2 linked regions of the Elephas maximus indicus genome follow. The protein of the gene in region 1 binds, or shares a complex with, the protein of each later gene. Links are inferred from orthologs where the notes say so. Each region holds a gene or a part of one and is shown on either strand. Other genes may lie near its edges.

What was found.
Region 2: the proteins of GPSM2 (region 1) and FRMPD4 are in contact, whole or in part, in a crystal structure (PDB 4WND), measured with the Homo sapiens proteins. The link is inferred for Elephas maximus indicus from reciprocal best matches to the Homo sapiens genes GPSM2 and FRMPD4. Residues at the interface, in NP_001307967.1 of Homo sapiens: Leu25, Ala28, Leu29, Glu32, Asp57, Lys59, Thr60, Ser62, Ala63, Ile64, Ser66, Gln67, Asn70, Phe73, Tyr74, His85, Asp88, Ala92, Gly100, Lys103, Asn107, Asn110, Thr111, Lys113, His128, Arg143, Tyr146, Asn147, Asn150, His153; in NP_055543.2 of Homo sapiens: Gln988, Leu989, Leu990, His991, Ser992, His994, Met995, Glu996, Met997, Glu998, Pro999, Glu1000, Thr1001, Met1002, Glu1003, Thr1004, Lys1005, Ser1006, Val1007, Thr1008, Asp1009, Tyr1010, Phe1011, Ser1012.

What each region holds. Positions count from the first base shown.
Region 1 is NC_064821.1:172,697,650-172,705,540, reverse strand, and holds the start of GPSM2 (G-protein-signaling modulator 2), read left to right. Parts: upstream 1-4,883; 5' UTR 4,884-5,140; intron 5,141-7,891. UniProt on the Homo sapiens protein: Plays an important role in mitotic spindle pole organization via its interaction with NUMA1. Required for cortical dynein-dynactin complex recruitment during metaphase. Plays a role in metaphase spindle orientation.
Region 2 is NC_064846.1:167,817,105-167,824,746, reverse strand, and holds the start of FRMPD4 (FERM and PDZ domain-containing protein 4), read left to right. Parts: upstream 1-4,636; 5' UTR 4,637-5,296; coding exon 5,297-5,337; intron 5,338-7,642. UniProt on the Homo sapiens protein: Positive regulator of dendritic spine morphogenesis and density. Required for the maintenance of excitatory synaptic transmission. Binds phosphatidylinositol 4,5-bisphosphate.

The sequences.
Region 1 (7,891 bases):
ATGTTCTACATCCCACTTTGGTGACTGGCATCTGGGGTCTTAAAAGCTAGCAAGTGGCCATCTAAGATGAATCAATTGGTCCCAACCCACTTGGGGCAAAGGAGAATGAAGAGCACCAAAGACACAAGGAAAATATGAGTCCAAGAGGCAAAAGGGCCACATAAACCAGAGACTGCATCAGCCTAAGACCAGAAGAACTAGATGGTGCCTGGCTACCACCAATGACAGCCTTGATAGGGAACACAATAAAGAGTCCCTGACAGAGCAGGAGAAAAGCGTGGAGCAGAACTCAAATTCTAGTAAAAAGACCAGACTTAATGGTCTGGCTGAGATTGGAGGAACCCCCGAAGCCATGGCTCCTGGATGCTGTGTTTACCCAGAACTAAAACCATTCCTGAAGTTCACTCTTCAAAAAAAGATTAGACTGGACTATAAAACATAAAATAATACTCATGAAGAGTGTGCTTCTTAGTCCAAGCAGATAAAAGAGACCAAATGGGCAGCTCCTGTCTGGAGGCAGGATGGGAAGGCAGGAAGGGGCAGGAGCTGGCTGGAGGGACAAGGGAAAGCTAGGGTGGGAAGGGGAGTGTGCTGTCACACTATAGGGATGGCAACTAGTGTCATATAACAATATGTGTATAAATTTTTGTATAAGAAACTAACTTGAACTGTAAACTTTCACCTAAAGCACAATTAAAAAGAAAAAAAATAACAGCCTTGGAAACTATAGGCCAGTTCTACTCTGCCTTATACGGTTGCTATGAATTGGAATTGACTCCACAGCAACTGGTTTTGTTTTGTTTTTTAGACATTGTCCAAAGCACTTTACATACATAAATTCACGTAGTCCTTATATCAGTCAGGGTCTAGGTATAATCCTCAAATATGTGAAGTGCTTGGAACAGTGCCTGGAACATGATTAGCCCCAATACATCTTCCAAAAAAAACTCAGTGCCGTTGAGTCAATTCCGACTCATAGCGACCCTATAGGACAGAGTAGAACTGCCCCATAGAGCTTCCAAGGAGCGCCTGGCAGATTCAAACTGCTGATCCTTTGGTTAGCAGCCGTAGCACTTAACCACTACGCCACCAGGGTTTCCCCAATACATCTTAGCTGTCATTATTTATTGATTCATTTCAGCTTCCAAATGAGAGATTAAAACCCAGTGCTGTTGAGTCGATTCCGACTCATAGTGACCCTATGAGCCTGTTTTAACAGGCTGTTTTCCTTGCATTTTGAGGTCTCCTTCCCAAGGGTTCTTAGGTATTACTTTGGGAAGCTCCTACCCCTCATGTTCTCCCTCTTTTATTCCAAAAGGCGGAGCTACCAAGTCCACATTCTTGCTGAGGAAACTCCACACAAAATCTTTAGACTTTTTTTTTTTTCCCTTCAAGAGAGCACTGATATTCTCTGGGAGCAATAAGTGTTATCTACTTGGTTATTCAAATTTGTCTCAACCCAAACAGGTCATTTGTATATTTGCATTATATCTTTACGGATTTATCTTTTTAATATTTTATATGAATGAGAGCATACAATACGTAACCTTTTGTGTCTGGTTTCTTTCACTTAGCGTAATGCTTTGGTGGTTCATTCACATTGTAGCATGTACCAGTACTTCATTCCTTTTTATTCTTAAATAATATTTCCTTGTATGTGTATTAAAAATATATATATATATTTTATATATCACAGTTTGTTTTTTCATTCTTCTGTTGATGGACATTTGGAGTGTTTCCACCTTTTGGCTATTGTGAATAGTGCTGCTATAAACATGAGTGTACACGTATTTGTTTGAGTACCTCTTTTCAATTCTTTTGGGTATATATCCAGTAGCAGAATTGCTGGGTCATATGAGAAACCTGTACTTAGACCAAGAAGCAGTCATTCAAACAGAGCAAGGGGATACTGCATGGTTTAAAATCTGGAAAGGTGTGTGTCAGGGTTGTATCCTTTCACCTTACTTATTCAATCTGTATGCTGAGCAATAATCCAAGAACCTGGGCTACATAAAGAAGAACAGGGCATCAGAATTGGAGGAAGACTTATTAACAACCTGCATTATGCAGATGACACAACATTGCTTGCTGAAAGTGGAGAGGACTTGAAGCACTTACTGATGAAGATAAAGACTACAGCCTTCTGTGTAGATTACACCTCAACATAAAGAAAACAAAAATCCTCACAACTGGACCAATAAGTGGAGAAAAGATTGAAGTTTTCAAGGATCTCATTTTACTTGAATCCACAATCAACACCCATGGGAACAGCAGCCAAGAAATCAAATGAGGCATTGCATTGGACAAATCTGCTTCAAAAGATCTCCTTAAAGTGTTAAAAAGCAGAGATTTAAGGACTAAGGTGCACCTGACCCAAGTCATGGTATTTTCAATCACCTCATATGCATGTGAAAGCTGGACAATGAATAAGGAAGATATAAGAAGAATTGATGCTTTTTGAATTATGGTGTTGGTGAAGAATACTGAATATACCATGGACTGCTAGAAGAACGAACAAATCTGTTCTGGAAGGACAGCCAGAACACTCATTAGAAGCAAGGATGGTGAGACTCCCTCTCACGTACTTTGGACATGTTATCAGGAGGGGTCAGTCCCTGGAGAAGGACATCATGCTTGGTGGAGTGGAGGGTCAGTGAAAAAGAGGAAGACTCTCAAGGAGATGGATTGACACAGTGGCTGCAACAATGGGCTCAAGCATAAGAACAATTGTGAGGATGATGCAGGACCAGGCAGTGTTTTGTTGTGTTGTACATAGGGGTCACTATGAGTCAGAACTGACTCGATGGCACCTAACAACAACAGCAACAACAACATGGTAATCTATGTTTAACTTTTTGAGGAACCCCCAAACGGTTTTCCATGGTGACTAAACCATTTTACATTCTCCACAGCAACGTACAAGGGATTCAGTTTCTCTACTTCCCCACCAACACTTCTGTTTTTAAATTATTATTATTGCCATTTTAGTGGGTGTGATGTGGTATGGCATTTACTTTTATGAAGAGTCTGTACTGTCATGTAGAATGTCTCAAATTCTGGATTTGTTCCAGAGCACTCTTTAAAAAAAAGAGAAACTGGATTAAGTTACTCCCATGCTTAAAACCTTCCACTGGTTTCCTGTAACACTTAGAAAAGAAAGTCCAAACTCATTTCCCTAGCTTACAAAGGCCTACACGATCTGGTGTGACTCCATCTTGTATGTTCTCCTCTCTCTCACTTCACTTCAGCCACCCCAGCCTTCTTCCAGTTTCTCAAACCCACAAGGCTTGTTCTTGCCCTACAGACTCGGGTTCAGCTTTTCTTCCCCCTCCAGTGTGCTCTTTCCTGAACTTCACTTGAAGGCTGGTTTCTTCTCGAGATTCAATTATCAGTTTGAATGCTACATCCTCAGAGAAGTTTTCCTTAGGTACTTGGAGAATGACGTAATATAATTTATGCCTTTTAGAAGGTAATTCCACTTGAGTAATTGGAAAGATAAAGATGACTATTATGAGGGATAGGGTCCTCATGTGTAAGAGAAGATTTGCTGGGGTTGGGGGGGGATGATTGATTTTGGATATAGTGAATTTGATATATTGGATTTCCTTTGTAGCTTTCATATTAATACCCAAGAAGAATTTATGAGTAAGAAGGAATTGTAATATCTGCCTCTGAAATAGTAAGACAATTAATTCAATTGCTTATGAGAGCCTGACATTAAAGGTGGTTGTTGATAACAATGACAACAGGTACCATTTACTGAACAGTTTCTATTGTGTCAGGCACTATGTTAACTAACAAGCCTTACTTTACTATCTTTATTAGAAGAGGATTTATTATCCGTGGTTTCCAGTTGAGGAAATTAAGGCTAACTTGCTCAAAGTCAGCCAGGCAGTAAGTGGCAGAGATGGAACTCAAACCCGGGTCTAGTGTGATGCCAAAGCTGATACTCTAACTGCTTTGTTGTAACACCTTCCGAAGCAGCTTCTTGGGTCACTGGTTTTGGCTATCATTCAGAGAAATCCTGGAATTAGGGTTTTCTTTAACGTACTTAAGCCTGTAGAAATATTGAAATCTCATTTCAGTGGAGAAATGTCTTTTTGAGAAATAATCTAATTTAAATTCATCAGATTCTTTAGCCCAGAGGCTGTAGTCTTGGTATTTGGGAAGGAGAACAAACTGAGACCTATTTGGGGGGATTAACACGACGTGGACGGGAAGTAACGGAACTAAAACTTACACTTCCCAGTATATTTGGAACTCAGTTGCCTGAAACCGAGTAAAATCGTCATCCAGTTTTCCTAAGAACCAGAGATTCTGTCGTCAACATAAAGTTTGGTTTTTAACAGCTGGAAGCGCCAGCATTGTGACACAACCTCAAGAACTGAGGCTGCCTTGTTCAGACTTTCACACGGGTCCCTCTGTTCCTTTCATAGAGCCCTGTTTTTCTTAAACATCCCGCATATGCCGCTGTGAATGCTCATTCTACAAGGCGGCACCGAGCCTCAAAGCAAGGAGGCACTTGTTTCGCGGTCCCATCTTTGAAAGGGGTCCAGGCGAGACCCTGTCTGAAGAACCCTACCTGGAACGTATATTTATCGCCCCACTCTTCAGCGTCTGAAGAAGAAATAAGAGGAGAGGGAAGTTACTTCAGTGTGGTGGTTGAGGACGGGCGTCAGAGCAGCTGAGGGCAAAGTCCCCCAAGCTCCCCTCAGCCTGACCCGAAGGCACCACGCCCGAGAGGGAGTAGGCAGCGAGCGAACTACTGCTCGGCCCCGCCCCCGTCCCCGGCCATTGGCCGGTCCGAAAGACGCGGGGCGGGGTCGGTTTGAATGGGAGCCCCCGGAGCTGCAGCGCAGGCGCAGAGCAGGGAGGACGCTGAGTGCGGGCGGCGCTGCGGGCTGCTCGGCGGCGGTGCGACGGCGGGAGAGGAGAGGAGAGCCCCCGGAGCTCTGGCTCACGTGACCTGCCGGGGGCGGGGACGGGGGGCGCGCGCCGGCCTCCCGCGGTGCCCCTGCCTGGCTCTCCGCCCGCGGCGCCGCGACCCGCCTGAGGGAGGGCCCGCGGACAGCCGCCTGTCGCCCGAGGCGGCCGCTCCTGCGGCTTCTCAGCGCACCCCCAACCCGCCAGCCCGCTGGAGGTGAGTTCTGCCGCGGGGCGCGGAGGAAGCTGCGGGCGCCTGGGGGCGCCTCACGAGGGCGGCGGCAGGGAGGGGTGCAAGCGTGTGCGTGTGGGGGGCGGCTTCTGTGACTGAGGGGCGACCTCCTTTGTTCAGGCCGGCCGAGCGGGGTTCGGGGTGGAGGAGGCGTGGGGACGGGGTCCTCGGCGGGGCCGGGGGCTTCCCTGACCTGTGGGCGCTGCGGGGACGCGGCGTCGAGGGCGTCGGGCTGGGGGTTCGGGATAGACCCGACTCCAGAAGCCAGAAACTCGGCTGAGAAGCCGCTCACATCACCAGGACGAACGCTCAGTTGTTTTCTTGTTATTTAAATGAGAGTAAAGCCGAAGAACTTGGTTCCCTAATATCTTTTTTAAAAATGAAAATAGAATACAGTGACAGCTCACGTAATCGAAGCGTAACAAACACATTAAAAATCCGAATCCCTGCGGAATTCATAATGAAGCACAATGCATTCATTTTTTTTGGTCCGTGCGCTTGATAGCCAAAACTTTAGTCAAATACCTGCGCTTACCGTATTTTAATTCGTGATTTTTTTTGCACCTATCTGATTTACTATAGAAATTGGTATAAAATAATATAGAAGTTGGTAGTTGCTACAAAAAGTTTTACTTTGTAACCACTCTTTCTGCATAATAGCGTGTGAAACTGCCTTGCCGAACGAGCTCGTGGTAAGGTGTGAAGAAGAGCAGGTATGAGACTGCCCCTGGTGCTTCGCATCCCACACCCCTTACACACACACTTACTCACTTCCAGATCATTCAAGCAAAGCTGCTTCTGATAGTGAGACCCCAAGCAAAAGTGGTATTTATCAGAGGTAACCGCTGTGAGTCGGAATAGACTCGATGGCAGTGGGTTTGGGTTTTTTGGTTTTTAACCGCACTGGCGATTATGAAGTCTTCGGTGCATCCTTTGAAGGGGCTGCTTGAAAATTCGACTGCTTGTTAACTTCCCACACACACCGAAAAGAACTCCTATACCTGCCTGAGGAAAGGGAAGCAGAGAACCTACTTCGTTTAACTCTACGGAAGGATTAAATTATGCATTAAGGCAAAGAAAATTTCCATCCTTCCTTATTCGTTTTCTTAAACAGAGTTTCTTTATGTTTTAATAGTAACCAGTTACGTTTTACTAGTAACTAGTTTTTTTTTTTTAGTAAGCATAGAATTTTTTTTAAAAGCCCCTTCTCCGAAAACCTCTAGGATACCTTCAAGTAGTAAGAATTGGAAAATCTCTAACTGCTTTATGTTTTAATAGTAACCAGTTAGATGATTTTAACTCTGTTAAAGAAAAGGAGAAAAGAGAAAGGAAGGATGGAAATTTTCTTTGCCTTAATGCATAATTTAACCCTTCCCTAGAGTTAAACGGAGTAGGTTCTTGGCTTTCCCTTTCATTCAGTCAGGCACCTCCTGGAGTTCTTTTTGATGAGTGGGGGAAGTTAATATAACAACCCGCTGAATTTTCAAGCAGCCTCTTCAGAAGGGTGCACCGAAGACTTCTGGCCTGATAACCGCCAGTGTGGTTACCTCTGATAGATACCACTTTTCCTTGGGTTCTCACTATCGTAAGTGGCTTTGCTTGAGTGATCTAGAGGTGAATAAGCAACCTAAGAAGAGCGTGTGTGTAAGTAAAGGGGTGTGAGATGCAGAGCACCAGGGGCAGCCTCATACCTGCTCTTCTTTACATACACCTTACCATGGGCTCCTTTTGGCAAGGCTGTTTCTCACTCTATTATTTATAAGGAGTGGTTACAAAGTAAAAAGTTGTGTGATGTTGTGGTAGAAGCATTTCCCCCAAATCTTCTTTGGCTGGATAAGCAGTTTAGTTGTGTTTTCCTTTTATTAAACCAGACATGCATTGTTACAAATATATATGTATTTTTAATAAATCTGAGACTTAGTACTAGGCTAACTATAACAATGATAGGATATAGTAGTTTCAAATGGCCTTGTTCTTAAAGCATAAAATATTTCTAAGATTTTTAATTATTTCTAAAGATATTTTTTTCTTGGAGGAGGACATATGCTTTATTTTTTTCTTTAAATTTTGTTGTAGAGAATATACACAGCAAAACAGCAATTCAACAGTTTCTACAAATACGATTTAGTGACATTGATTACATTCTTCAGTTTGTGCAACCATTGTCACCTTCCTTTTCTGAGTTGTTCCTCTCATTAACATAAACTCATTGCCCTCTAAGGTTTCTGTCTAATCTTTTGAGTTGCTGTTGTCAATTTGATCCCATATAGATAGTTTCTAAAACAGCATAATGCTCAAGGCAGACCTTTTTTACTAGTTAAGCAAAACTATTGTTTGGCTTTAAGACTTCAGGGGATATTTTTGGTTTAAGATTTAAAGATTATCTCAGGGCGGTAGTTTCAGGGGTTCATCCACCCTCCATGGCTCTAGGAAAGTCTGGAATCCATGAGAATTTGAAATTCTGTTCTGCATTTTACCCCTTTTGATCAGGATTCTTCTATGGAATCTGATTAAAATGTTCAGTAATGGTAACTGGGTGCCACCCAGTCCTTCTGGTCTTATGGTAAAGATAAAATGTTATAATGAGTTCTCTGGAATTTTAAAATTAAAAACCTGACATAGATTTAGACTCAGATTTTATTTTGTAATACTAACAACAGCTATTATCATTATGACTACTACACTTTGTTGAGTGCTTTTGTTAAGTACTAAAGCCAGGCACTGTGTTAAGTGCTT
Region 2 (7,642 bases), on another chromosome or scaffold:
TGAAATTCTGTTCCATCTTTTTCCTCTTTTTGATCAGGACTCGTCTATTGTATTGAGTCCTTGATCAAAACATTCAGTAATGGTAGCCAGACACCATCCAGTTCTGGTGTCCTGGCAAAGGAAGTAATACTTCATGATATGATATTTTATATTTTTATTGTCTGTCTCCGTATTAGAATGTAAGTTCTATGAAAGCAGAAATATGCCTTGTTCTCTGGTATATTTCCTTAGGACAGTGCCTGGTACAAAGGAAAAACTCCATGAATATTTATTAAATGAATGGATACTATGCTTTTATTTACTCACTTCTGTTTTCAGGGCTATAACGAGATGGTTGAGATGCTACAGTCCAAATGGAAAAGGCATAGAGTTTTCTCTATTGTAACGTGCAGCAAAAGGACCCTTAGCTGCCAACCCGTATGAAACATCTGGGCCAATAGTAGATTCCCAACATCAACTTTAGGTAAGAACTTAACGAAGAAGAAACTCCTTCTTCTTTGTCCTGAGAATTCTCCCAGAGCATAAAAAATTTTGTCCTGAGAATTCTCCCAGAGCATAAAAAATAACACTGCTTAGGGTTTCGATGATTGTGGCAAAAATATCCACATCTGAACAATCCAAGCAAATATTGTCATCTTCAAAGCAGTGATTTTAGAGGCTGCAACTTTTGGTGACAGTGCTGCCAAGACTCAAAACAGGTGTGGATGTCTTTCTGGAGCTAATATCCATGTGCCAACTCTGAACTGGTGTCCACATTCAAGCGCTCATTCGGTAAGGTAGGGATGTATTATCATTTCCATTTTAAAGGCAGGGAAACTGAGTCTCAGAGAAGTTAAGTGACTTACTCTGGATCCGTTGACTTTGAGTCTCTTATTCATGAGTAAATTCAACAGTCTTTGAAAGTGTGTTTGGTTTTCAGAAATGGCCAAATGTCTCTTGGATACAAGTAAGGCAAATTAAGTAGATTTGCAAGGAGGGTAATAGAGGTCCTGATGAGTAAAACCTCTACAAAGCATGTCGTAGTTGTTGTTAGCCGCCATTGAGTCGGACCCTGACTCATGGCAACCCCATGTACAACAGGATTGGACCACTGTGATCCACAGGGTTTTTTCATTGGCTGGTTTTCGAAAATAGATCTTCAGGCCTTTTTTCCGTGTTCATCTTAGTCTGGAAGCTCCGCTGAAACCTGTTCGGCATCACAGCAACATGGAAGCTTCTCGCCTGACAGGTGGTGGCTGTCCTTGCAGTTCATTGGCTAGAAATTGAACCTGGGTCTCATGCATGAAAGGTGAAAATTTTATCACTGAGCCACCACTTTCCTCCTACAAAATATCGAAGGGGCCTTAGAGGTTATCCAGACTAAAAAAAAAAAACTTCAGAAAATCTGCTCAAGGTGCCACTCATTGGTTTTTTGTTTTGTTTTAGGGAGATTCATTTCATGTTAGACATAGAAACATATTCCAACCTCTGCCGCACACACCTGGTACAGAGAAGGTCAGAACTGATAGAAAACTCAGACTGAACGCACTGCTGTCCAGTTGATGCCAACTCATAGCAACCCCATAGGACAAAGTAGAACTGCCTCATAGGGTTTCCAAGGCTATAAATCTTGACGGAAGTAGACTGCCACATCTTTCTCCCCTGAGCAGCTAGTGGCTTTGAACTACCGACCTTTTGGTTAGCAGCTGTGTGCTTTAACCACGGCACCACCAGGGCTCCTTAGAGCTGATGGAACAGCTACTCAAATCTCTTTCAGAGGGCTTAATGGTGTTTCAGAGCAGCAGAACTTCCAGTTTTACATCTCTGAGAAACAAAGGAGGCGGGGCAGAACGTCTTTGCTTTAGAAGAAAAGCTATTGATCACCAGAAACATACCAGAACATTAATATATCAGAAGAGTGTAAGGACTGGAGAAGCCAGTCGTTTCCCTCGCTGGCTGTAACGCTGTGGAGAGTGGGCATCTGCACTGTGAATAATTGTACTGTACAAATTGGCGGAGGGGAGAAGCCCAACAGCAAGCTATTCCAGGTCGACCAGATGTCTTGAAGGGTGTCTGTCTCCCTACAAGTCAACACTATGTCTATTTCTTGTCATTTTCACGACCAGGTGATTAGCTGTTTGGTATGGAATTATGTTTTTAAGAAGAAAGCCCTACTGTTCTGTTCTCAAAAGGAAAAACTTTTCAAAATACAGTTTCTGAAGGCATTGTTTCATCCCCCTTTCCTGATCCAAAACTGGTCTCCTAGTGCCTGTGGCCGCTCTTTTGGGAAGGGGTAGAGAGAGTGAAGGAAAAAAAGAACTGGAGAATGTGGGAGTGTCCTCATTGCCACATTAGCAATTCAAAGGACATGCAAACAGTGAAGGCTGCTGAGGAAGGAAGAGTGTGTGTGTTTGGGGGTGGGGGGCGTGGGCAAAGATAAGCCCTGAGGTCAGAGACAGAGCAGCACCGATGGGATGCCAGACCGATTGGATTTGTCTGAGAATCTGATGAACATAAAATTTGTCCATTCAACAAATATTTATTAAGGTCTTTCTACATCCAAGGAAAGAAACCCTGGTGGCACAGTGCTTAAGTGATCGGCTACTAACCAAGAGATCGGTGGTTTGAACTCGCCCAGCAGCTCCGTGGGAGAAAAACCTGGCCATCTGCTCCTGTAAAGATTACAGCCAAGAAAACCCTGTGGGGCAGTTCCACTCTGTCATATGGGGTCTCTGTGAGTCCAAACGGCACTTAACAACAACATATCCAAGGAACTGTCCTTGACATTTGAGACCCATCAGTGAAATCCATCCTTGCCCTTGTGGAGCTTTCATTCCAGTGCAGGAATCAGAGAAGAAACAATAAACATAAAAATAAATTATCTAGTGTGTTGGTGGGTGATAAGTGCTATAAAAAAAAAAAAAAGGAAACAGGAAAAAATGGAGCAGTTCATGGGGACTCAGAGGCCAGGGGATGCAGGCCTGGAAGTTTCAGATAGGCTTTTCAGAGGTGCTTTTTGGAGGCGACATTTGTGGAAAGGCCTGATGGGGTGAAGGAGCTGGCCATGCAAATATCTGAAGGAAGAGTATTCCAGGCAGAGGGAACAGCCATTGCAAAGAGCCTAACGTGGCGGGATACCTGCCCAGTTTGAAAAGCAGCAAGGAAGCCAGTGTTGCTGGAGCAGGATGGGAGGGGAGAGAAGAAGGGAGGTCAGATAGGGTCAGAGAGATCAAGGGCCAGGGTGACTAAGACCTTGTTGGTTATCGTAGGGGTGCAACTGTAGCTCTCAGGAGAATGGACAGCTTTTGCAGGGCTTGGATCCAGCAAGTAACATTATCCGACCCACGTTTAAAAAACATTTCTTTGACTAGTACATTGAAAATAGATTGTGGCATAAAAATAAAAGATTTCTCTTTTTTCAACATGTGCCTTACTTATATGACAGGGTTGCTATGAGACTCAATTGCAGAACTGTTTTAAAAATGTTCAAGCACTGTGCAGACCCAAACTATAATTATTATTTTACACAAACAATAGGGGGTTCACAAGCCAAGGTTCCCCTGGCCTCCTCTGAGCCATGAAATTATAGTTTATCTACAAGAAGCTCAAGGGACATTGATTCCATTTACTTCAAGAAAAAAAAAAAAGGTAAGCATTGTACCTGTGAGCTTTAAATCATTAGGTTTTGCAGATTGCTAGTTATTTTATGTTTAATTTTTGAAAGAATTGCTTTTTTTTTTTTTAACTTGGAAGTACCTGGCTTGAATACTGAAGACTTTCAATCCAGCCTCAGACCAGAAGAGGAGCAGAAGTCTGAGAACTTTAAACCCATTCTGTTTTCCCTGATCCCCTCCAGAGCTAGCTGCTGTGGCTAGCTCCTCCAGTATTTCGGGGGTGGCAGCGTTTCTTTGCGGTGGCCCTGCTGGCAGATGAACGCTGCTGGGTGGGAGACACATTTTGGGAGACCAGCTGACCTTCCTTCAGAGAAGCTTGGGGGAAATTCTGCAAGGATTTTGGAGAAGAGGTCCTGAGACTCCAAGAGAAAGAAGAGAGAGGGGCTTCCTGGGAGACAGAACTGAGTTACTGAAGGGGGAGGCGGGGTAGGTGTGCTAAATGGCTGCAAGTTGGAGTTTACTCTGCTTAAGGTGAGTGTTTACGTTTTCTCTGCTTTCGTTTTTTTCAGGCGAGGGTTGGTTTTGTATTTTGTTTGTTTCCTTCTTCACCCACCGCTCAATCTGAAAAAGCAGCTAGGTCTGCAGGCCAGACCCCATTCTCATCCCTTCTCTATAAGTCTGAGCCCCCCATTCAAACGAGCCCCCCCCGCCCCCTCCACCGCGGGTTGCTGGGACCCCCTGCTCGCCTGTCCCCCTCTAGCTGTTATCGCTTCTTCCCCCGCCCCCAACACACACACAAGGCTCTGGTTCTAATTGTTTTGATTTCGCCGACGCCCCCCTGGCGCTGATTCCTAAGACACTCCTTCCCAGCCGGCCGGGCTGGCACGTCTTGCCCCAGCAGGTCGAGGAAGGCAGTGAGAACTCTGCGCTTTCCAAATCGCGCCCACCGCGCTGGGTATCTCCCTCCCCTTTCCTTGGACCAGCGATCTTGCCTGCACCCTCCCGGATCGTCCGCCTGGGCTACGGGTGGTTGTGGAACCCACTGAGGCTTTGGGCAAACTGCGGTGGCCCGGCCCTCGTCGGGCTTGGGGAGGGCGGGGTGGCGTTTGCGGGCCCTCAGTGTGCCAGAGACTGTTGGAGCCGATCTTGCCGCTCGAGAGGCGCACACAGAGGGTGACAGGAGCGTGTGCCCCCTCCCCGGGCTGTGGGGGTGGGGACAGGAACGGGGACTCGGGCAGGAAGGCGGCGGGGAGGCAACTGCAGTGCTGCGAGGGGTGCGTGAGCCGCGCCAGTAGCCCGTCGCCTCCCAGTGCATCTGCGCTCCCCGGAGCGCGGGGCACGGGTCGCGGCTGGAGCAGGAGGGACCCCCGCGCCGCCTCGCCTCCCGCCGCCAGGGCGCACGGGGCGGGGCGCACGATCGGCCGCCCCCGCCCGCGCCCAGCCCCTCTCCAGTGACTTTTCCCGGCGCGGCGCCGCTCCACGGTCCTGCTCGGAATGCACACGCAGCTCCCGGCCGGAGGGGGGTAGCAGCCGCCGCCTCCAGGTGCCGGCTCAACCGGGCCGCCGCCGCCACCCGCCGTCGCCGCCACTCGAGCCCCGGGCGCGCCGAGGTCCCGGTCATGGGGCTGCCGCTGCGGCCGCTGCGGTCTTGAGGAGGGGCAACGGAAGCAGCGCTGCGCTTTCGGGAGTCCCCGGCTGCCCGCATGGATGTCTTCAGCTTTGTGAAGATTGCAAAGCTCTCGAGGTAGGATCCGCGCTGGTTCGCTTGCACCCGGGGCCGCCACGACCACGGGCAACTTGGCGCTTGATTTTGCGGGAGGTTTGGGGAACAGCAAAAGCTGGGGACAACAGTGGGGCTTCAGATCGGACTGGAACGGCGTGGCCAGGGGCTATAGCGTTCAATCTATTTCTCACTGGTTCCCCGGGCATAGACTGCACACGCAGAGACCCACGCGCGCTCACGCACACACGGATCTTCACGACAGTTTGTTTTCCCTTAGGAAAAGCCCCAGTGGTACTTGGGGTCACATGTGCAATTCAGGACCAAGAAAAGATGGTTGTAGTTGCTGCTGCTGCTGCTTCTAGGACAAGCCCAGAGTGCTTGTAGCTTGGGTACCTGCCTTCCAAGTAGCAGCAACATAAAGTGTCCCTGTCGCCCCTTACCCCCAAATTAGACGTCCACACCCGAAAAAGTCCACTTGTAGGTTGACTCAGGTTGAGTGTTCCCACCAGTGACCTAGATGATGAAGTCATGGAGATAGAAGAGAAAGACCTTAAGCCTTTCCCTGGGTAACTATATATTTCTCAGCTTTGAAAGATTTAGAAATTTGTTTCCAAGTGGCTGTGTTGTGGAAACCAAAGAAAAATCCTGGATTCAGGCAGATTTCCTGGGCAGGGCTTGACAGGAGGAGGTACATTCCCACTCTTGGACCGCCTAGCTACTATTATCTGGTCAGAGCATTCCTCCTCAGTCTTCTGCCCTGCTTAGGTTTCTAAGTTGGGCTTCCAAAGTCTCCACTGAGCCCAAGAAGGAAGGTCTGCCGCTTGCAGTGTGGCCTCAACACGAGAAGAGCCCAGTAAGAGAGGTCTCCGAAAACCCTGCCCAACTTTCTCTGCCCAAGTCCCTGGAAGGCCTGGCCTTCTGCCCCTGAGCTCTTTATAGCAGTTACCATCACCACCTTAGGAGGTAGACAGTAGGGTTTTACCAGGATGCAGCTTAAAGACCTGCTAGAAAGACAGAATAATTCTAGGTTTGTCTTCATTCTTTAGTGTTGGGTGGGCCGTGTTGATTGCATCAGGCAGGAACAGGCAGCCTCAAATACCCCGAGTCAGAAACGTATGTTGACTTTGCTTTGCCAAATTACATTTGGGCCATTTCAGAAACATTAAGCTTGGATGTTGTCAGTAGGACATGTCCCTCTCCAGCATCTACAGGTCTTTAGTTATTCTTCCTGCTCGTCTCCACCTTCCCTCTCCACTCACACTGGTCAGTCTTAATATCACCAGCTGATTCCTCTAGGGAAAGGGCCCCACGGTCACTTACCCTGGGTAGGTAGACTTGGGTAAATACATCTGCCTAGAGCCCCCAGGCTCCCACACATCAGAAGACTCATGAGTTAAGCAGTGGGTGATTGTGGTATAGCATTGTTTGGTTTCCCACCGATACCATAGACAGCCATGGCGTCACACCACTTCCTGCGTGCTTCTGCCCATGGCTGGTTTATAAACAGCTGTTAAATCACACATGGATGCGAAATAACTGCGGGTAAGTTTAGAAAGTGCATGGAGCCCTCTGTGTGATGGACAGAGAGATTGGTGAAGGGAAAAGGGACATTCAACCAATAGTATAAAGTAACCAAAATAGTTTGCAGTGCCCTCGGATACTCAAAACAGCAAGCTGAACAAAACATCTAGAGCCTAGGTTTTGTCCTTAAACTTTGGAGCTTGGGAGAGGACAGTGCTGGTGTCAGAGAAAAGAGGTTTTCGACTCAAAGTTTCCTAAATTCTAGGATGCCTTCATGGTGTTAACAGATCTGAGCATTTGCAAAACCCAAGGCGGGTTTGTGAGGGATTAGCATAAAAAAAAAACTCTAGGGAGAGAGTGTGAATTTCAATTTCTATCTTTACTGTCATGCCATAGAGAGTTGATTCTAAAGAGAAGGTGCACATGTCCTGAGCTTATGTGCCCATTAACAAATCTTCCATCCCTAGGAGTTCTTCCTTTTCTTCTGTGTGAGCTCAAAGATGGTCCCCAAGCTGAGCTAGAAACACCTCGAGAGGGCCATCAGCTTGCAGAAACACGTTTGCAGCTGCCTATTTCTGCCCTGCAAGCATTAGAGGGTTGTATGTGTGTGTGTTTGAAACAGTGTTGCAGAAATCAAGTTCTTTTCACAAAGGTGGAGCAGAAAAGTGCTTACATTGCAGGATTTTCCTGATTTCAGAATGGATAATCTTCCTAAGGGATTTAGCTTTGATCAGCGTGGTTACTTGAGTGCTTAAAATTCTCTTGCTTTAGAGGGGAATACGCAGAGTTACCTCAGGCCTGTGCC